Drosophila melanogaster: one gene and its partners. Changing the gene in region 3 together with the main gene of any one other region gives a genetic interaction. Each region holds a gene or a part of one and is shown on either strand. Other genes may lie near its edges.

What was found. A genetic interaction does not mean that the proteins touch.
Region 1: of kuz (region 3) and Appl, changing one enhances a phenotype caused by changing the other (phenotypic enhancement), as found in Drosophila melanogaster (one study listed by BioGRID).
Region 2: of kuz (region 3) and Hs3st-B, changing one enhances a phenotype caused by changing the other (phenotypic enhancement), as found in Drosophila melanogaster (one study listed by BioGRID).

Annotation. Positions count from the first base shown.
Region 1 is NC_004354.4:529,630-535,785, reverse strand, and holds the start of Appl (beta amyloid protein precursor-like), read right to left. Parts: upstream 4,617-6,156; 5' UTR 4,597-4,616; intron 4,160-4,596; 5' UTR 3,988-4,159; coding exon 3,910-3,987; intron 1-3,909. UniProt on the Drosophila melanogaster protein: During development, plays a role in the regulation of the neddylation pathway. Appl and APP-BP1 interact antagonistically during development.
Region 2 is NC_004354.4:19,246,910-19,254,161, reverse strand, and holds Hs3st-B (heparan sulfate 3-O sulfotransferase-B), read right to left. Parts: upstream 5,524-7,252; 5' UTR 5,022-5,523; coding exon 4,839-5,021; intron 4,424-4,838; coding exon 3,960-4,423; intron 3,409-3,959; coding exon 2,901-3,408; 3' UTR 2,888-2,900; exon of another isoform or gene 2,712-2,887; 3' UTR 2,117-2,711; downstream 1-2,116. Other genes in the region: rictor (rapamycin-insensitive companion of Tor), read left to right, coding at 1-360, 418-1,440; CG7992 (uncharacterized protein), read left to right, coding at 7,048-7,108, 7,168-7,252.
Region 3 is NT_033779.5:13,547,035-13,554,965, reverse strand, and holds the start of kuz (kuzbanian), read right to left. Parts: upstream 4,828-7,931; 5' UTR 4,673-4,827; exon of another isoform or gene 4,546-4,672; intron 3,825-4,545; 5' UTR 3,364-3,824; coding exon 3,300-3,363; intron 1-3,299.

The DNA.
Region 1 (6,156 bases), on a different chromosome or scaffold from region 3:
ATCAGCATTATCAGCGAAGGGTTATCGTATTATTTTCATTTCACCTTATCAGCAGGGCTGGAAAGTCGTCACCTTGCTGGATAGTGGATAATAGTTGTTGACCCACGTTTACCCACGTTAAACTAGCATAAAATGACACCGCCCAACTCACAACCCATTTTTGTTTGCCACTCGAAGGTGAACTGCGATTTTAAGAGCCCTAGAGGCAGACACAGAACAGCACAGCTGGGCAGTAGCACTTAACCCTAATTCCTGCAACTCTGACACAGACAATGAACACATTAGCCAAAGTCCTGGCTGCCTAGTTGCTTAGCTGCCTAGCCACCAAGCTGCTTGACCAGTGCCTTTGTCAATGGTGAAATGAAAATGAGCAAAATGCATAATCGAAAAAAACCATTGAAGCGTAAATGCTTTGTAACAGGATTCAGGAATGGGCGAGTGCTCGAAGGGAGAGGACTCTTACGGCCAGGACAAAACGAACACAAACACGACTACGTAAACCTAAACCTTCGATCCGAGCCAAAATAAAAGCCGATCCAAGCCACGCCAAGGCAACCAAACGGAACGAAACGAAACAAAACCAAGCGAGTGGCGAAGGACGACAAAAAGAAGGAGGGCTCTGGTGGGGAATATCAGGGATGTTGGGGTCACTGCACAGTTACAACCACTCATCTACGTATCAACCCGCCGCACCATCCCCTGCAGCAAAGCATACATGTGTGTGACATCGATACCACAACTAATGAACGATGAACAGGACGTGGACAACTCTTAAACTGACAAATGACAATGGAATCGGGTCGCACTGGGCACAGAGCACTGGGCAACCTGGCTGGCAGTACGGATCGAACAAGTCAGTGGATGAGAGATGCGGCTGCTCAAATGACTTACTATGGCTGACCAGCTACAAACCCAATTGCATCCTAAACTTAACCCAATCACGAACTGCGGTCTCTGCAGCTGAACCCAATGTGGCGAACCCCGAAGGCAGATACTCTTGCTCCACTCCCATGGAATGAGTGTGGTATCTGGGGAAATAGGCAGTATCCACTTTGGCCAGCTTATCGATAAGGTTCTACCTGCACATGTTGCACCGTCTAGTTGGCGAGCCATTTGCTTTCAAAACGATGAACTCAAATACTTGATGCTTCACTTTTGGTTGGGATGCACAAGCATTTAAAAAGAGTACTAGATGGATGCATTTTCGAAGCGAAACCCGGAATTTCTGAAAAGTTTTGCGGCTGTGGGAAATTCCGTTGCGGCGACTGCATTGCATTCCCGAATGAATCATTCCACTCCCAGTGGGTGACTCATGTGGGGGGCGGGAAGAGCTGAACTGCGCCGCTGCCTTCTATCAGTCAGCAAGCAGCGAACTGACTAATTCAGTTGACTCCAGTGAAATTGGGGGGAGTTGTGCCAAAGAAGCATGGTGTGCAACTAAAGTTGGCCGTCGGTTCGCAGTTTCTACCCGACAATCAAATGGCCAACGACTCCCAGCCACCCTTCTCCACCCTCCTGTCATCCCCTTTGAAAGCCCCAGGCCTCTGTAAAAAGGGACTTTGAATGGGCTGTTTGGCAGCAACGATTGCGTGTTCCGTTTGCCAGGTTTGAGGGAGACACATCGTTGGCATCGAGTGTTTGGGGAGATTCTCGGGTATATTGCACATTGCAGTCCGCAAATCCCTCCCTGCTTTCTGGATGATTCAGACATGTCCTTATAAAAAAAGAGTGAAAAAGGGCAGAAAGAATACAAGCAGAAAGGAGATAGCTACAAAACGGGTGAGCAACTGGGGAGGGCAGGGTACAAAAAAACAGAAATTCTTTTAAAAAAAGTCCCTAGTTGGTAATGCATTACTACAACATTGGAGGAAACCACTACTTTGGAAATCCCGCTTAAAACACACAGAACTTTGCCGACAGTTTTTTTTTTACTGAAAATGTGGGTTATATTGCAACCAACTGCTAGCATTTTTCACAAAGAAAAATGATCCAATATTAAAGTTACACGAAGCAAAAGGTATTAAAACGCTTTAGCAGTAGTTGTCCCAAGCAGGGTGGGAATGGTGGGTGCAAGCGACATAAGTAATCAACGACCACCACAAAAATGACGTCGGCGATGCGTGCCCCTGATAACAACGAAGCTGAAGGGTGGACCTGTGGGTGAGTGGCTGACCAGGTCCAGGCTAGTCCTGCCATGAATTGCACGCAGCGACGGTCTAGCATGAATAGCCGAATTAAGGGTAAGATGGGTGGAGAGTGAATGAACGAATGGAGAGCAAAGCAAATTGCAGGCTGCATACAAAGCAAGACATGAAAGGAGTGCAATGCGCTATAAAGCAGCTTAACTGCTCCCCTGTCCGGGATTGGGCCGAACTCCTGGCTCCTGGGTCCTTGGAGGTGCTGCCCCTCGGTTCTTCTCTTTCAATTGGTCTGTCTCCACATGAATATGGATTTTATTAGGTTTTTGTTCCGCCACAGAAGACTGTTCGCTCTGCGTTGCCAAGGGAAAATTGCTCCGAGGTATTTAAGAGACAAGAAAGTAAAGCAAAATTGTTAAGGTCAGGCACGTCGGCGATTGTGGATCGGCCCCAAAGAACGAGAGCTGCCGCCTGGCAAAAATTGTTTGCAAATGATTTAAAAACACTTTAGCTAAAGCTAACAATATCCTAGTAACGCATGTCTTCCCTTTTGGTTTGTCGGTAGGTGTGTGCGTGCACGTATGCCAGTCGATGAATTGACCTGAACAAGAGGATTCGTGGTGAATGCAGGTCCAGCCCCAGACCAATTTGGGGATTATGCTCAGACAGAGCCGGATAGTTTTTAGCCGGACTTAAACCCCAACCGAAGGACGCATAACCCGGCCCCGCACTCCATTTCTACGATATTTGCCAGTCGCTGCGTGTAGAAAATCAAAATCAAAATGTCTGCACGCCCTGTTTGGTTTCGGTAACACCTCCGCTACTTTTATATGCAAATTGCTAGTCGAAGCCAGCTGCTGCTATCCTCTAGCCTCAAGTTTTCGGTTTTCGGCTTTCAGTTGGCCAGTAGCCAGCGACAAGCAAACGGTTCAATTAAGCCAATACTTGCGCACACTCGCAAGTAATTTGGCAGCCCTATCACCCATCCCCATCCCATCCCCATCCCATACCCATCCCCAATCTCCAATCCCCAATCCCCAATCCCCAATCCCCAACCCTTTCCCGCCTTCAAGCCCTCGAGCCTTTAGTGCCGCTGCTAAGCGATGGCACATTTTTCGTAGCATACTTTGCGCGGCTGCTTAGCCGACGGCCACCACATCCCACAGAAACCCGCTCAAGTGCTTGTGTGCTTGTGTATCTGGCTCTCTGTGTGTGTGCGAGAGTGTGGGTGCCTGTGTGTGTGGGTTGCGGTTGCGATTGGTATTGCTGTTGCACGCAGAAAGTATAGAGCCACACTGCTATTTTGTGAGCCGTACTCAAGTTATACATAAGTTGGGTGTTGTGTCAGTAAGCCAGATGAGGCAGTAGCGCAACAACACAAGTCCCTAATTGCTGGAGACCTACTTGTCTTCCCCGGACACCGAATTAATATTGTTTTGACTTCTATCAGCTTCAATGCGTGGCTAACATCGAGCGTCGAGTTGTCTGTTTAAATCAATTTGTCATCCCGATTAAAGCCCTAACGAAACAATGTTTTAGTGTGCAGTTTTGCCCAGTTTCCCAGTGTTCTCTGTCAGTTTCATTTTCGGTTTGTGTTTCTGTTCTGAGTTTCGGCTCTTTCGACTTACTCCTTCGTTCCATCGAGTATTGTATCGAAAGTGGAGTGAAATGGTCTGGTGTGCTGTGGTGTGTTGTGGTGTGCTGTAGTGTGGTGTGTTGTTATGTCGTGTGGTGTGGTGTAGTGTGGTGTGGTGGGGATTCGGTGACTCACCTGAACCTGAGCAGTGCCAATGGCCAGGACGACCCAGAGGCTCCTCAGCAACAAATTACGACGCAGCGCGGCGCACATTGTTCGCACTCTTTTCTGCTTCTTTGCTCCTCGTCTGGTTGGCTCCTGGTCCTATCTCCTGGCTGGGAATCTCCGAGTTTGGTCTGAACTTAGCTGCTTCTGCGGCTGGACTGACGTGCTTCCAGTTCTGGTTAATTGTATTTGCTTTGTTGGCTATTCGTTTAACACTTTGCTGCACAGGCGGACGACGGTAGCAGCAGCAAGAAATCGAAAACACAAAAAAATTTCATTAGCAAGCGATTCGGAATTGTGGCCTTTCGTTTCAGCCTTTAACTTTCTGGGTTCTGGGTTATGATTTCTGTTTTCTGATTTCTGCGCTCTAAGGTTCGTACTCCGATTTCGTTCGATTTGCGGTGCCCAAGTTAGCTGCCCACAGCGCAGCGCTTTTCCTTTCGCCGATGCCCAGAAACCTATGCACGGAAAATGTCAACTCGGAAAACTCTGTGCGTGTGGCTTGTATGTGAGTGGCCGTAGTATTCGATTGTGGAACGTAGTAGGAGAGAGTCCGTGATGGGCGGGGGCGGATAAGGGAATTGAAGGAAAAGGAAGAAAAGAAAAATAAGGCAAAGCTACGAGAGTACTCGCTGCTATCTGTCCTGTCATACCCACTCGCTGGTTCTCGGGGTCCTGAGATTGTACTTCCCCGAAACGGAAAATATGAGTGGCACTATGGCCGCCGTTCTGCGCCTGGAAAAGTTGTCAGCTGCAGTCGTCGGGTTCCACGTCCCATGTCACTTGTCCATGTCTCCTGTCTCCTGTCTTGGCAGTTCCCACGCAAATCCACCCACTCGCTAACCCCTTCCCGCACTCTTGGAACGTATCCGTCGGGCTTCTGCGCACTTTCCCAACCCCTTTCTCACTGATTCTGCGCAGGTGCGCTGCTTATTGTCCCCCAGCTAAGTTGGCATCACAAATCCACTATTGGCATCGGCTTCGCTTTTTCTTTCCGAACTTGTATCACTTTGTTTTGGATGTTTCTCTATGGTTTTTGTTGTTGGGTTTCTTTTTTAGCACTATTTAGCACTTGAACAGCAAAAAAAAGTATTGAGCTTGTTTTGGTTAAATTTGACGGTCTCTCAATGTGTGTCTCTGGTTTTGTGCTTGTGGCTCCTCGGCCACCACCTCTCCGCCCGAGCGGGAGAACGACAAGAGCCACTGGCCAGCAGCCCCTGGCCTTCCCAAGCTGTCGGGGAGTGGTCAGATGGGGTGGCCCGAAGAAGCCCCTAAAGCGCTGAGTTTTTGGAGCCCTGGCTGTACGCTATACCTGGCGCTGCGAACGCTCACAAACGACTGCGAGTGGTCTCGTTGCCTGCAATCCTGCGAGTCCACGTCCGAAAGTGCGAACTGCGAAAGTCGAACTCGGGCGCAGAATGCAGAGCGCGTGCCCGGGATCGATATTAAGGGCGAATCGAGCAACTGGCCTTCCGCTTTCCGCGGGGGTGACAATGTTTTTGGCTGTCCGGGCTGCACTATGGTACCAGTGCTTCCAGTGGTAGTGGTATTAGCGGAACAAGCAGGACAGAAGTGACTAGGGAGAACTGGTTCCGCGGGCGAACCAAGAGTGTCTGGCGGAGTGCTTGTTAGTTAGTTTACATGCACACCGCTAGGTGGAAACTCCCAAGGGAATTTCGCACAGGTCACCGTCTTCAAAAGGCTGTCCTATGCACGAGTTTTTATAAACCACTAAACTTAATTCAAATTTGTTTTCCTCGATGGATTCAAGAGTTTATATACTTTTTCTAATGGTGAAGCCAATCTGCACTAGATGGCGTCGATATGTAAGATGTAAGATGTAAGATGTAAGATGTAAGATATGACCAAATCCAAGTTTCCCACCACCAACCACCCAATTTCCTATCCACATCACTTATTGCTTGGCCCTTAGCCAAGTTGCAAACCACTTTCGACATTATTTAACATGTTCATTTTTTCCTTCCCAGCGACTGGCAACTCTGTGCCGCACAGCTGATCTTCTTACCGGCTACAAATTAGATTTCTTACATTTGTTTATTTACGCCGCCTCCTACTTGCTAGGCCTCAGGAAAGCATAAACCTAGGAACGGAGCCTGGTACAGACACGGAGCTATACACCTACAACAACGCACATTTCACCTAGTTGCGCAACGCACTTAGCCGGCTGGCGTGGCAGTGCACGGTAAGCTGAAACGT
Region 2 (7,252 bases), on a different chromosome or scaffold from region 3:
GCCCGCTCCCCGCGACAGCAGCGTAATGACAGCGGCAGCCATAGTAATGGTGGAGGAGGCGCATCCCTCGCTCCCTGCGAGCTGTACAGCAGTGCAGCAGCAGCTCTGGTGGCAGCCGGCATCCAGGCTGGACCAGTTTTGGCTAAAAAGAGTGGCTCATCTGCCCAAGGAGCTTCAGCGGCACTTGGCGCCGACATCAGCTTCCATTCCCCAGAGAGCATGCTGAGCGAGGATAGCCTGCCGGACAGGCTTACGGCCTCCATTCTGTACAACGTGCAGCGTCTGGCCAATCCCGTTAGTGCCAAGCAGTCGAAAATGGCTCTGTTGGAGCTTAAGCAGAAACACCCGCACGCCTTTCAGGTGAGACTCATTTGAAATCCAAATGATGGTTCGTACTTACCACGTTTTTATCTCTAGGATATTTGCCTTTATTCGGAGGCCTGCAAAACGATAGGCCGGAGTAGCTATCGGATGATAGCCCGCCGCTTCCTGCAGGAGCTCTTTCTGGACCTTAATTTTGACTCGTTCTACGTGGAGCCTCAGCTCATAATCGGGGCACGTAAGTTTTCCGCTGAGGAAAAAGCAGAGGCCACGGCCCCCACGGCAATGCAGGCCATGCCGTTTAAGCAAACGATTCTCAAGCCTAAACCGGCGGCCCAACTGGCTAGCGTTTATGAGACTAGTTGGGAGAACCTGCTGATGGACCAGTCGCCACGGATAAACAAGTCATCGCCTGCCGATCAACCGGCCAATGCTCAAACGAAAGCAAAGGCCCGGAACCAGCTGCACATTGACGATACGGAGAGTTCGTTGTCCAGTACCGATGGCGAAAATGATTCCGGTGAGGATGTTTGCGACGGCAGTGGAGCCGGCACCCAGGCCAGCTCGGTGACCACCGCTCATACAGCCCTGCCCACAGGAAACAGCAATCGTAGCAGCATTGGCACATGCACAGCAAGCCAGCTGGTGCCAGGTGCGGCAACTTCAAACTCCGCTGGTGCTGGGACAAGCGCATCTGATAATGCTAGTACAAGTCTAAAGAATGAAAACCGGCAATTCACACGCGGACGATTCTATACGCTGGAGCTCGATTTGAGCTGCACCAAGAACAAGTTTCCCATCAAGAATCGCAGCCAGCGAACACCAACGCCTCCACCAATCGAAAGTTTAATCGAGTCCAAGCCCACGGTTCAGACAGATGTGAATACAAGTGCGCTGCCAATTATGCAGCGGACCGGTGGCAGCAATGACTCCTCGTCAGCCCTAAGATATTCCACTGTGACCAAGAGCTTGTCGGCATCGATGGCCAGGCCGGTGGGCAGCCTGTACTGCGAGAAGCGCTTGCAGAGCTCCAAATCGGAAGCGGTCCTCGATGAGGTGGCGAAGGCGAGAAGAGCATCCGGTGGTGTGGGACTGACAACTGTGCGTGACAACTCCTAGACGCACTGGCGGAAGATCAATTGAAGTAGCCCAATGGGGACGCACTGCCTACTCTTACATCTCGTTTACTGGCCGCCCGCCTTCCTAAACCGAAACCAATCGGATAAATGTAATATATCAAATCAAAGAACATGTAGCTACGTAGATTAAGGCAATCCGTACTATAGGATTTAAGTTATTTTCGACTAGTTTGTTAAAATTAAAGTTATTACCATAGTTACTTTTACGATCACCACTTATGCATAGTTATTTTTAAAGAAATTCATAACCGTAAGCAGGAAACCAACAAACGACAAAAATCCCAAAAAATAATATATAATTTTCTTATGTAGCGTGTACCAACATATTTTATAGAAGCAGATCGAAAGCAAATTGGATAATTGCCTTGAAGCAACAAGAAACAACCACAAACCACCGCAATTTATTTAATTAATGTACTTAAAACTAAAAGAGACCCAGTGGCAGGCGAAAGCAAAAAGACCACACAAACCTTAAACCAAGAAATTATCATTATTGTTGAAAACAAAGCAAGAAGCATACCGTGAATCGTTCACAATCACTTTAAAACCAAAATGAAATGAAATCAATAAACTATAAAAATTGAAAAAGTTAAACCCAGCAAGTGCTATTTACTTAAAATCGTATGGAAAGATAACAATCTTCTTAGGGGCTGACTAGATTTAAGGTCGATTTATTTAGTTTGTTTTTTAATTGAAATTGGCTAAGCAATCGTATTGGTTGAGTCATGCAATTGAAATTGTTGGAACTATGCATACAATATTTTGTATATGTTTAGTTTAGGAGACTGTAGGAATTTCGTAGTAAGCTCTATTTTTTCACTATTCTTGTATATAAATGCACATAATGATCTTAGGTATAATGATCTTAGGTAGTGGTAGTACATAGCAATGTGTGTGCCCAGCGGACGGGGGAACCATGTCCATCTCGGATCGAACGTGGCTCCTCCACGTCCAACTGCCTGACATTCGAGTATAGTGGGAAAAGTGAGTTTCATTTCATTTCATTTCATTTGAATTGAATTGGAGTGAGGAACCGTATTGTTTGAGTGCGGACTTTTCAGGTTGCGCACTTCGTTGAATTTGTCTCCTGATAAAGCTACAATTAATTGAGCACTAACTTTATGTGTGTGTGTATATACTATATATAAGTACAATTATATGTATCAAAAATGCAATCAACAATATCAGTCCGTTGCCGTGGCCAGCAACAACAATATCTCCTATTCTCAAACTCCATTCATTTCACGCCCGCTGAAACGGAAATTGATACCAGATATTAGGGATTAGGGCTTAGGGATAGTCAAGCATACTCCAATGGGGATGGATGTGATATGTAAATTGAGCAGATCAGTGAAGGTGCCTAGCCTCTGGCCAATCCAATCCATTTCGGTACTAGCCTTGCACGTATCCCAGTTCCGTCTACTCACCCAGCCGTGGATCCTATGGCCAGGCGAAGTTGATGCCCGTCAGCTGGTAGAACTTGTTGTTGAAGGGCCGGTAGAACTCCCGGAGGCGCTCGATGGCCCCGGGATCTATGTGCGGATGGTTGCGCCCCTTGGTCTTACCCAGACAGTGGGGCGTGGAGCGTGCCTCCGACTTGAAGAGGCAGGGGAAGCCCTTGGTGGCATTGAAGTAGAAGTGCTTCTCGGTGACCACGCGCTTCAGACCGAGGAAGTCCTGTACGCGTCCAATCTCGTAGGCGGGATCCATGATCAGCCGCTCGCCGCTGATGAAGAGCAGCTGCGAGAGCGGAAAGTAGAGCAGCCAGCGCTCCAGATAGCGTGCATAGACGCCGATCTTCACCGGGCCCCAGTTGGTGTCCACCACCGAGTAGCTACCGTTGACGAAGGCCAGCTGCTCGAAGAGCTTCATGTCCGCCTTCTTGCTCGCCGCCTGTGTGTAGTCGGAGATGGCCCGCGTCACCGGATCCCGCACCACAATCAGTAATCTACGGGCGTATAAAATTGAGGTTAAGTGAAGATATGCTAGTGATTGATGGTCCAGATACGTAGGGTTAATGTAAAACGCATAATGCATTTAGAATATAATGTTAATCCCTTCTATGTTGATCAAATCGAATGTTGTATTCCGAAAACCATTTCACTTAAGGTGCTTAAAAGTATGATAAAACCTAAAACAAGTTCTAAAGTCTTGTGTATAAAGCACATATTTAAAAGGACTCAATATTTAAGGGATATCCGCCTTAAAAATCTCAGCTAAGCGTTTGAAACACTTTTATTATATAGTATGCTACGATTTACGTACGGTTTCAATATTTAAGGGATATCAAATCGGCCTTAAAAAGTATCTCTCTTCAATTTTCAACACTTCTATTATAGGTGCTAAAAAGTATGCTATGACTAAATACAGTCTTGTGGATAAAGTGCAGTATTCTAAAAATATCATTTTTAAGAATTGACCGTTTTTAAGTTCTATCAAATCTGATGGAGTAACAATTTACGATTATGATCACAATAGGTTTGATGTAGAAAAGCTCACTTTGTTGCCGGATTCATGTGGTAGACGCGCTGCGGCACCTCCTTGGTGACGAAGTAGCTGGGCGTCTTCTCCATGGTGATCTGGCCCTCGATAGTGTACGGCATGTGGTGGCGGTACCAGCGTAGTCCCCGCTGGTAGTGCCTGTCGAAGAAGTGCACCTCCGAACCGGCGGCCCGCACGTCCGGATGCAGGCGGATGAACTCGAGCAGCGCCCGCGTCCCGCTCTTCTTCACGCCAATGATGAGCGTGTCGGGCAGGTGGCGCGATGGTCGGAGCCCCTGCTGACGGAGCAGCTGATACTTGGGCGCCCCATCCAGGCTGCTAGTAACCGTCTGTGCCGGCGGAGCACCGGTGGTGGATGAGCTGTTCCTGCTGCTGCTGCTGTTGCTGCTGCTGCTGTTGGCGGCGTTATTGGTCTCGTTGCGGGGCGAGGAGGTCAGCGCCAGTAGATTGCGTAAGTTGCTCTGCGCGGGAGAGGTCAGAGGTCAATGCCACACATCGTGCGAAACATATCAACATATTGGCTTATGAAAATGCCCAACTTGTAAGTATGCCGAAAAGTATGCAACTATAAATGTACATATATATAATCGTATATATGTATGTAGATAGCATCGCAAAGTTCAGCGAAAGACAAAACTTAAACTTTTCACAGCACACTTTTGGACAGCTTGTTAAATGTTTTGAAACCGCTGGGGATTATTACAACCCCCCCCCCCCCCCTAATTTTGAGTTGGCTCCACTTTACACATGTGTGTAGCGAAACTTTATATTCGATTTTCCAATTATCAGTTTGTTTTCATGAATAAATGCATTGGATATTGGATACATTTAGCCCCTACACTTAGACATTGTCCAGTGATTCGTGGACATATTCACCTGCTGCAGACTGCGACTGATGCTGGCCAGGAGGCAGGCATTGAAGCTGTAGGAGAAGTAGACCAGAGTCACGCAGATCACCAGGGCGATGGCCAGGCTGCGGCTGCTCAGGCTGAGGCTGCTGCACCAGATGCTCATCACAATCATGGCTGGCTGGGCGCTAGTGGCTGCCGTGTCTCGCATCTGGCGGTATAATCGGTTCCGAGCGCTCCGTCAAATTCCATTGCCACTCAGTCGCCCCGGAGCACTGCCTGCAGCATCCGGATTCCGATTGTGATTTGCAATCGCAGCAGCGGCTGGCGGCTACCGCCAACGCGAAGTCAACTGAAGGAATGGGGCTGTTCGCAACGCTGGAGCTGCTGGTAGTTGCTGGTGGTTGCTGCTGCTGTTAGGTGGCTGGTGGGTGGTTGGTGTGGTTGGGGTGGTGCTGGCGCTACGAGTTCGGCCTGCAAGTGCCGGAGCTGTCGTCGCAGCCGAGTTGCGGAAGTGAAAGCCAGGGATAAGGCAGGGCCAAGACATTGGGGTGCCCTGCCAGCGGATAAGCGCTGCCTGGGCCGCCGGTTCGGCTCCGTTTGTGCAGGATGACAGGATGGGTGGGGGAAGCGGCCGTGTCATGGTTGCGCCTGGGAAGCGCACAGGCGCATTGGACACATCCTCTCTCGTCTCGGGACGCTTATGCAACTGAGCGTTTTGCTTGCTCTCTCGCCAGCTCGTCGAATCGCCGTTGGTGTGACGTCGCAAATGTACACTGCCCGAAAGAAGTGCCAAGTCTTGAATGTAGCAGATAATTAATGTAGTGACAGCTTGCTATCACATCATGTCTTTAAGAAAGAAAGCAGACATATATAGTTAAATCAAAAGATACTAAAATCTGAAGAATTTCCGCTTTGTGAGGGTTTGACGAAATCTTTGCTTTCTACACAAATCAAATCTTAATAAATAAGTATTTCACTTAAGTTAGTAATTAATTTCCAAGTCTGATAAAGTTATATTTATATTAAGCAATAATAATAGACATTATTGATTTGTTAATTTCTAACTTCACAACGAATACATGATAAAATGTACTCCAAAAACGCAATCGTTAAGTAGTATTTCTAATATTTTTTATTATTTCTAAAAATGTATATATGTATATAGTTTGTTATGTAGGCTGGGAATGCCATCTTAATATTTATTCGACCATAATCTTTTCGTATACGGCCTTTTATTTTCTTACTTCCTGTCGCAACTCTCTCTCTCTCTCTTTTTTGCTCTCGGCTTCAATCAATTTTCCGCTCAAAGGTAAACAAACTAACCAAGAACTTACCCCCACCCACTTTGGCAACCAACCACCCACCCACAACCCAACCACCCCATTTGCGTCTGATAAAGTACTTGCTGGCATTTAATATTGGATTGAAATCAATTTACCAAGCATTATCGCCGGACGTTCTATTGCCCGTACTCCTATCACCATTAGCCATTTGAGATTAGTTTTAAGCCCTATCGTTGGAATGGCCCAATGGCCTTTGCCACATTGTTTTCTTATGCATATGAAAGGCCAAAAAATTGTACGTTTCCGTGGCAGCGTGGTAAATAGTAGGGGCCCTCAGTTGGGCCAACTGCCAAGGAGCTTATCAACCGGCGGACATCTGTTTATCTGTCCAAGTGGCTTATTCCACTGCGGCATTAGTCACTCACTTTGGGATACACTGGCGAAAAAAGCGCCAGGAAATTCGATCATATAAATTGGGGTAAAAATATTTACATAAAATGGGAAATATAGTACTTCGAGTAATGCCATAGATAGATACTTGCTCAAAAAAAGATACATTCAGGTACAAAAAAAAACATTGATCTATAACCAACGAATTTCTCCACAAGATGCGCAACATAATCGGATTTCCTTTTGACTATCATAATTCATGAACCCGAGCGGAGAAATGGCTAGATAATCCCAAACCCTCAACTTTTCCGCCCGTGTATCCATGGCCACCACACACATGCACCTGGTCGGGTCGGGTTGGCTTATCTTATCGCCTTATCTGCGCCGCCTTCGTCGCAGTCGAATTCTCCGCCGGACTTCCACCGGCCCATTTGCCATTTGTCCGGCGTCGCATCGTAGGCATCTCCATTCCAGCTGCTCGCTAAAATGCTCTAAGCTCCTTCGATAGACGAACCTTCCTCTCCCTGCTGCTGGACTAACTAACGCAAATCTATCGCAAAAATGTCGAATGTGTGGGGCAAACTGGTGCTGAAGTTCTTTAAATATGCGCCCAGCTATGTGGGTGAGTTAGCCACGCCAATGGAGATCCTTGTCCAGAGATTACGTCTCATTCACTTCCAGTCTGCCTGTGCTTCCTGCCCTGCGGCATGATCTTTGGCTATACGATCTGCGCCTTTGTTGCGGAGCGGAACCTCAACGCTGGACT
Region 3 (7,931 bases):
TGGTCTTATTCTCTTAGTTTTCTCCTTTATCAGCGCTTCCCCGTTTCATTTTTGTTTGTTTTTTTTTTTCGTTCACTCGCTTTGTTGCTGTGCGATGGTGAGTAGTGTGTATGGTGTATCTTGTATCTGTAGCTGCGTCTGTGCATAATGTATCTCCGTCTTGGCGAATCGTTTGCCTTCTGTTTGTTTATGCTTCGCAACTTGACTTGGGGGGAAAAAGAGAAGAAATGGGGGCAAAGGGGAAGAAAGGGAGCAAAGGGGAATAAAAAGGAAAGAAAAGAAAAGTTTTTATGCCTTTGTCTGATGCTCGTCTGTTTGTTTATGTATACCCCTCGTATTTCTGTGGCTTACCGCGTAACTTTAATAATTTAATTAAATTCTACCAAACCTCCAAGTCTCCGGCCTCAAACTCCCCAAATCCACTGGTGTCATGCGAGTCCCGCTTTGATTGTTATTTAGGCCATTTGGCATAATGAGGCAGCATAATACTCACATAAAATCCAATTTAAGCGCATTTTTAGTGGCTAACTTTGGGCTTCCTGGTGGAAATGAAGGTTTCAAGAGCACACATTATTCACTTTCCCAAAGGAAGTGCTAAGCCCATATCTAGAATAATTAGTAATGTCTCAAAAAACGGATTTTAACGTCCATATATTTTATGCCATTTTAAATATACTAAAATCATATATCAGATAAAGATTTGGCGGATTATGTTTATAATTGGCATATTAAAATGCGCACGCAAAAACCTTTAAGTCGGTTACGGAAATTGCCAACACGAATTTCACCTGCCAGGATAACGACATTTGTGTCGATTCAACCAATGCTTTCACCCTCGGAAAAGCCATTTACATTTCCCTGCATGTGCAGCGCCCTAGAAGAGGGCAATTTACATCGAGTCACGCCCTTTCATTAAAGCTACTCATCAATTTGAAGTGCCAGGCGCTTCAGTCATTCAACAAGCTTAAGGGATTTATTCACCGCATGTATACATTCGCATATAAATGCTACATGTATGCATTTCATTTTTTTATTACATTTTATTTCATTTATTTGGCAGAGGCACTCGGCAAACAATAAATGTCAGCCGCCTGGTGATAGTAACACACTTTGCAATGACAGATACATTTGTATCTGGCAGATACGACGGCAAATACAGAACAAACGCGTCTATCATCTGGGTCGGATTCACCAAATAAACCCACGAGTTTTGTGGGTCATTTTCTTTGTACGAGTATATTATGAAACAGCACGAAGTTCTTCATCCACGGTCACGTTGTCATCTCTAGATTTCGATGGTGGCTTCATTATTTGTTTGTTTACTATGTTGCACTCGGCACGTACGGGAAATAAAGCAAAGGAAAATTGCATAAATGCCCGGGCAAAGTGTCCATTGTTCTCTGGGCCCTATCATCCTAAACTCTCCTCCCATCCTAAACTCTCCCACATCTCCTATATGTGATTTATGAAAGCTTTTTGCCCGACTGAAATTATATTTGAAACAACTTTTAGTCAACAGCTTATCAATAACAATAATAAAATCCGGAAAAACCCAGATGTGACTCTAGAAACTCATTTCACTCGTCAGCGAATCTTCAAGTTTTTTTTGTCTCTTTCAAGATCAAAAAAAAAAAAAAAACGAAACCAAAAAACTGCAGATAAGTTACGTAAAAAGTAGCCGCAATCTCAAGCTGAAACTAAGATACGGATACAGTATCTTTATCTTAATTCCCAGCTGTATCTTGTTACTGTATCTCAGAACTGTTGCTTTTCACAGCATTTTTGGTTTATATATTTCTTTCGCTTCCGCTGCTTATTTGTGGGAGAAAAACTCTTCTCCGATAGCTGTTGCATATATATATATATATATTTTTTTATAATTTTTTCATTTTTAATCATTATAATATGGTTTGTGCAGCCCAGACAGATAATGCCGAGACATTGACCTTTTTCGCAGATTTTTTGTTTGTCTCTGGCCTTTTCTATTCGCCTCGCTTCTGGGTTCTCGGTTCTTATGTCTGCTCTCTTTCTTTGTTGTCAGATTAGCCGGCCAAGTGGATAAACCAGTTTTTGCCTCCGCCACTCTTCTTGGCTTGATTCTTGGCCCTCAATCCTCACTCTTTTACCCATGTTCATGTTGCTTGACTTTGGCTAATTAGCCAAGAGTGGAAGTTGTTGTCATGATCCCTCGCCCCGCCTCGAATTTCGTAACGTTGAACTTAGGAAAATCTTGCCATGCAAACAAATTAGTTGAAGTGGCGAAAAAACGGTCTTCAATGCAGTAACGACATTTTTTTTATCACAAAACACAATATATTCATAAATTAAGTAGCACAACTCTGATATATATATTTATATATGTAGATGTATAAGCTAAATGTTTCATTCCTACTGTGTGTTTCATACCGAAGTATATAGTTTTAAAATTTTGTAAGTCCCCTTTTGTTAAACCCAAGCTAACGATTTCACAATAAAAATGGATGAGTCCCCTGAGCTTTACTCAGGTTTTCATGACTCACGTTATACCTTATGCTTTTCGCCTTCTTCGCTCTTTTTGCCCCAACAATGGACTTGCTTTGTGGAAATAAATAGGTAGAATCTGAATTTGTATATTTACATGAACATACATACATATATGAGTAGCTAACTTAAGTGTAAAAAAAGTACATTCACGGCTATATAGATTGTTATTAGAGTCGGTTGAGTTTGAAACCTTGGCACCTGCAAGTGAGAATATTGCTGAAAGCAAACACTCTGGGTCACAAGAAAATCATTCTGTCAATTCGCTTGGAGTGACAATAGCGAAATTAAATTAATTATGCAAAGCAACCCCATTTGTTTAATAACAAAATACACCCACAGCATAGTTAGGGAGGCGAGAAAACCCAAAGACAATTACCCAAAGTGTCTACTAAAATTATAAGAAACCCTCTGTGTTCCACCCTCAAAACGATACCCTTCCCCTTCCCCCTAATATCCTTCACTCGTCAATTATCCTGGCAAAGTACGTAATTATTTTTGTTGCTCGAAGGGTTCTGGGTGAAAATGTTAACTTTGTTTCCGCCTGATTGAGCACTTATTCCAATGTTATTGTCTATGCGTCATTTGCAGCACCCTCGGCTGTATTTCATTTTAAGCCCCGATTGTTGTGGTTTCTTCGGTTGCCAGTGAGTCAAGTGCAGAAAAAAAACACCAATGCTTTATGTATTTTTAAATTAAAATATTTAAAAAATTATATGAAATAGGAACGGAAACCATTTAGATTACATTGTTAATCAATGTTAGTTTTTCGAACTTACCATTTACGATGATGATGAAAATGATCGATACGAATACAATGTTGAAAGCACATTTTGATGACATTATTTGCGATGGGGATCCAACGTGGATGGCTGTCGACTAAACAGAACTAGCACCAAATTTCTGCTTGCTTTTGTTTTATTTTTTATTTTTTTTATTTCCGCGAAGGTCGTTGATTGGTCTTAATAATTTCCTTGTGGCAGTAGTTGGTTGCGTTATTGGGCGGCACCTCGCACTCCAATCTTCGCGGGTTTTTTAATCAGAGCTTTGCACTTTCCATGCCATTTACAAATTTAGCACTTTTTGCATGGGCCATAAAACTTCGCAGCACTTTTTCGCACGCACGAATTATTTTTGCTATTTGTTGCAACTTCTTTTCGAGCTCTTGTCACGTACACTTTTCTTATATTTTTATTTTTGTTTTATTCCAATATTTTCTCGTTAATAAATTAAAAGCGAAAATAAAAAAGAAAAATCTTCTTTTTTGATTGATTTTGTGTGTTTATTCACTGGATTGTTTATTTCTGAAGGCAGAAGAGCGAGACATTTTGATTGATTTAATATTATTAAAAATATACTATTTAAATATAAAAATAGGCAATTTTATTTGTTTTATTGTTTTTTTTATAATTATGTTTTTTACTATTTACGCTATATTCATAAGTTCGGTATGCGTTTTTTCTTGTTTAATAAGTTTATGAATAGTTGGAAAACCAAAACATTAGCAATACAAACAAACATAAAATCACAACAAAAACAGCTATTGGCCTTTGCACTCACACAGAGGCAATGAGCAAGCGCGGAGAGGAGAGCAAGAGAGGGAGATGCAACAGAGACGACAAAGAGCGACGGAAGACGGAAAAGGAGAGAGCGACAGCTGCGGCGCAAACGCAACAAAATGCATTAAATTAATTATTGTTGCTTTTAAAACGCTTGTTGTTGCTGGCACAAAAGAACAACAAATCGATTTGTTTACAATGCTGTTTCAAAATAATTAAACAGAAAAATGTTTTCGTGAATAGTATTATGTGTAGTTTAACTTCGCAATAGGGCTAATTTAACAATGTTTTTGCATGTTTACTTATTTTCGTGTGCCTCGTCTTGTACTTCTTTCATGCTCTCTCTTTTATGTTGCTTCTCGGATTGCCTCTCTACATTTCTCTCTCTCACTCTCGTTTGCTATGTGTTGCCAGTAAATTAAATGCGTTGAAATGCAGCCATTTTGTCTCCGCAATTGGCACTCACTTGAACTCCGGTCGAATTTTTTGTTTAGCCACAATTCTCAATTGGCCAGAATTGGGGGCATTTTCTTTGATTAGCGCACATTTCTTAAGCCTGACTTGACGATATATATTTATTTTTATTCGCTCACCCGCTCGCACATTAGCACACACACACACACGAACGCACGCACACATGCAAACGCACGAACACGCGTCCAGCGATTTTCCGACTCCCACGGCGTTCCGAGATCCGTTACAAAGAGTTACGCGTCCAACTCGCTTGGTGGTTTTTTTTAAACTACCCGATTTCTCACCACATATACAAATGTACTTCAGTCTTAGAGTGACCAGTATCATAAAAAGAGATAATCTTTCTAATGCGTTAGTTTTCGTGTGCGTTAATACTGATATTGACGAGAGATGATACAATGACTCATCGTATTCACTATAGTATATTAATAATAGTTAGATTCATTAAATAAAACTTATTTAGGCAACAGCACTTACTTTTCAGCTAATTAAACATATTTAAACATTATTGATACTTACGCATAAGGTATACAGCAAATACAAATGTTATTTATGTTATTTAAATTAAGCTATTGCAAAATAATATTTTAAACTCTAAAGAGAATTTGTTTAATTGAATTAAAATTAAAATCATTTTGTTTTGTGAGCTTGTGTACTTCTTCGTTCATTTACATAAATTTTTTTTTGAACACTTAAATTCAAAAAAGGCGCCAAAATTACTTTATTTTGCAGCCCTCGTCCACTTCAACGAAAATATTTTTACGCCTGGTGGCAACCTTTATCATATGGAACCAGTGTTGCCACATTTGATATTTTAGATTTATAATGAAAACTATTAGAAATTTGATATATTTAACAAATAAGCTGTTTACATCAGAAGCTTGTTTTGTTGCTATGCTAATAAGCTGGATAGGGCCATTTGCTATGGTTATCTACTGATTTAAATTTGCCTATCGCTTACTGTGATAATTTGAGTATACGTTAAAATACAACCATTTTGAATCGCGCGCTCATTATTAACATGCTCGGATTTTTTAGTGATAAACTCGTTAAGACGCTCTGAGTTGTGTCACCTGGCAACACTTCGTCAGATGCTCATCGAGTGTTGCTGCGGGTGGACGTGCTCGCTTTCTCTGTCCGTTACCGTTACCTCGTGTCTGCGTTCACGTATCCGTGTGTCTGTCCGCGTTCCCCGTCCGTGTGTGGGTGTAGGTGCGAATGTGTGTGTGCCTTTGGTCGCGTGTCGTCGCCGCTTTCATGTAAACGAAGATTGTGCAAAAGGTAAACGCCAAACGGTGGCAACAACAGTAAATGATAAACAGAAGCGAAACAACTAGCAAGCGCAGCAACAACCACAACAACACAAACAGCAAAGAAGCAAGCAAACAAAACTTGTGAAATACTTTTTGTTTATTTTTTTTTTATTTTGGCCTGGTCTGGTGGCAAGTGGCAAAAGCTATAAAAAACGATTCTCGAAAACAGGTTTCCTGCGTGAGCGAGAGAGAGAGAGAGAGAGACCGAAGCGTTTACTGCAAACTAGAAGCTCAACTGCTGCCGCACAGTGGTCACTACAGTTCTAAGCTTGCCCCACTGTGCGCCCAGAACTTGTTTTCTTCTTCTTTTCATTCGATTCCCCTCCCCACTCCTTCGTTCCAACTGCAGCTAACTACTCCTTTCATCGGGCGTTTTAGAATGCATATTTGGTTTATGGGAAGCTCACATGCAGCGCCCCCCGAAATCAATACGGAAAACGGTTTTTCCCGAAAGAGCCGTTACTTTTCGGGAAAATCCCCATTCCACGGCACCTCGGCTCTGCCACAAAAATCAGCTGGCTCGGCAGTCGGCGCAGCTCTGCCGGCGTCGGCAGTGGAGGGACTGCGTCGGGCGCCTAGCAACAGAGGTTAAACCTCTGACTACAGGGACGGTTCACGCTTGGGCGGTCAAAATCTCGGGGAGCAACACGTTACATAAGGTGGCTGAAAGTTTGTCAACCTCAAGTTTGGTTACTTGTGTGTCTAGGCATTATGTGATTGTTAAAATCACGTGGCTTATACAATTGTGGTTGAATATCTTATAGTTTGCATTGTTTTTAAATTTTTTGAAAGTTCTTATAGCAGAATATTCTCTTAACCAGAAGATGAATAAAACAAAATAGTAAAAGTCCAAAAACGCTAAAGAGCTTGATTTTTTATGATACCTTACTTGAAACTTCCGAGATTAGCTTTTTGCCCCTCCCCGATGTTGAAGGACTTCGGTCCTGGTCCCTACCGCCGTCAGCTGTGCGCTCAGTGCGCAGGCGCCACACACACACACACACAGATGTGCCAGCCACAGGCAGCAGGAAGCAGGCAGAAGAAGAAGAAGAAACAGCAGGAGCAGCAGAGGAGGAAAAAGCGGACCAGCCTGCTGGTTAACTGCCTGACTTTGGCCCGCAAAATTGCATTGCTGGCGTCTCGCTCGCACGCACTTACTTCGGCAGTAATGCCGGAAAATGGGAAAATGTGAATGTGAATCGATGGTGGAGGAGGGCGGGCGGTGAACAGCGCGATGTGGGCCGAAGTTCGCAGTCGGCAGTCGGCAGTCGGCTTTACATAAGTTGACGTCCGTGGCAGGCGGTCTGCTCCTGGAATTTCAGTGCCCGGCTGCAGGTCCTTTGCTCAGGTTGTGTAGACGCGCTTTTCAGTTTTTCCGGTGGATCAGCTGCTGGCGCTTTGCAACTGGTTCGGATTTTCCTTAATTTTCTCTGCGCTACCCCTACTTACTTTTGATTTGTAAAGTTTTCTTTACTATTTTTGTATTATTTTTGGTTTTATTTTTTAATTGGTTCTGCCCCTGCAAACCGGCTGCAAATGGCCAAAAGGTTCGTCGACAGTTTTGTGTTTTTTCAGCTGTTCGGCTGGTGGAAGGCAAAAAAAAAAAAATAAAAAGTGGTTAGACCTCTTTTTTTTATTACACTTTAATTTGGATTTTTTGCCATTATTTATCTCATTTCTCAACTATTGCTATTTGCCGCCTGCGTGGGCCACTTTCAAAAGCTTTTTTTCGGGGCTTCCGTCGATTAGTTTTGGCTTTATTTATTTATTTATTCCGTATTCGACGAATCATAAAGCCAAAAAAACTTGATTTGTGCGCACGGCCAGCAGTAAATCAATTTAACAATATTAAATCGCTCGTAAAACCGTTTGAAAAAAAAAAACGTCTAAACGAATTTATTCCTACATATATATCCATATATACATATAACCATGCAGACGAAGTGTTAATCGACAAACAACAACAGCAACAACGCCGGAGAAAACAACATGTGAGAGGCGGCTCAAAAAGTTAATTTAGCCAGTCGAAAAGATGGCCGCCAGGATGTGCAGCATCGCTTCCATC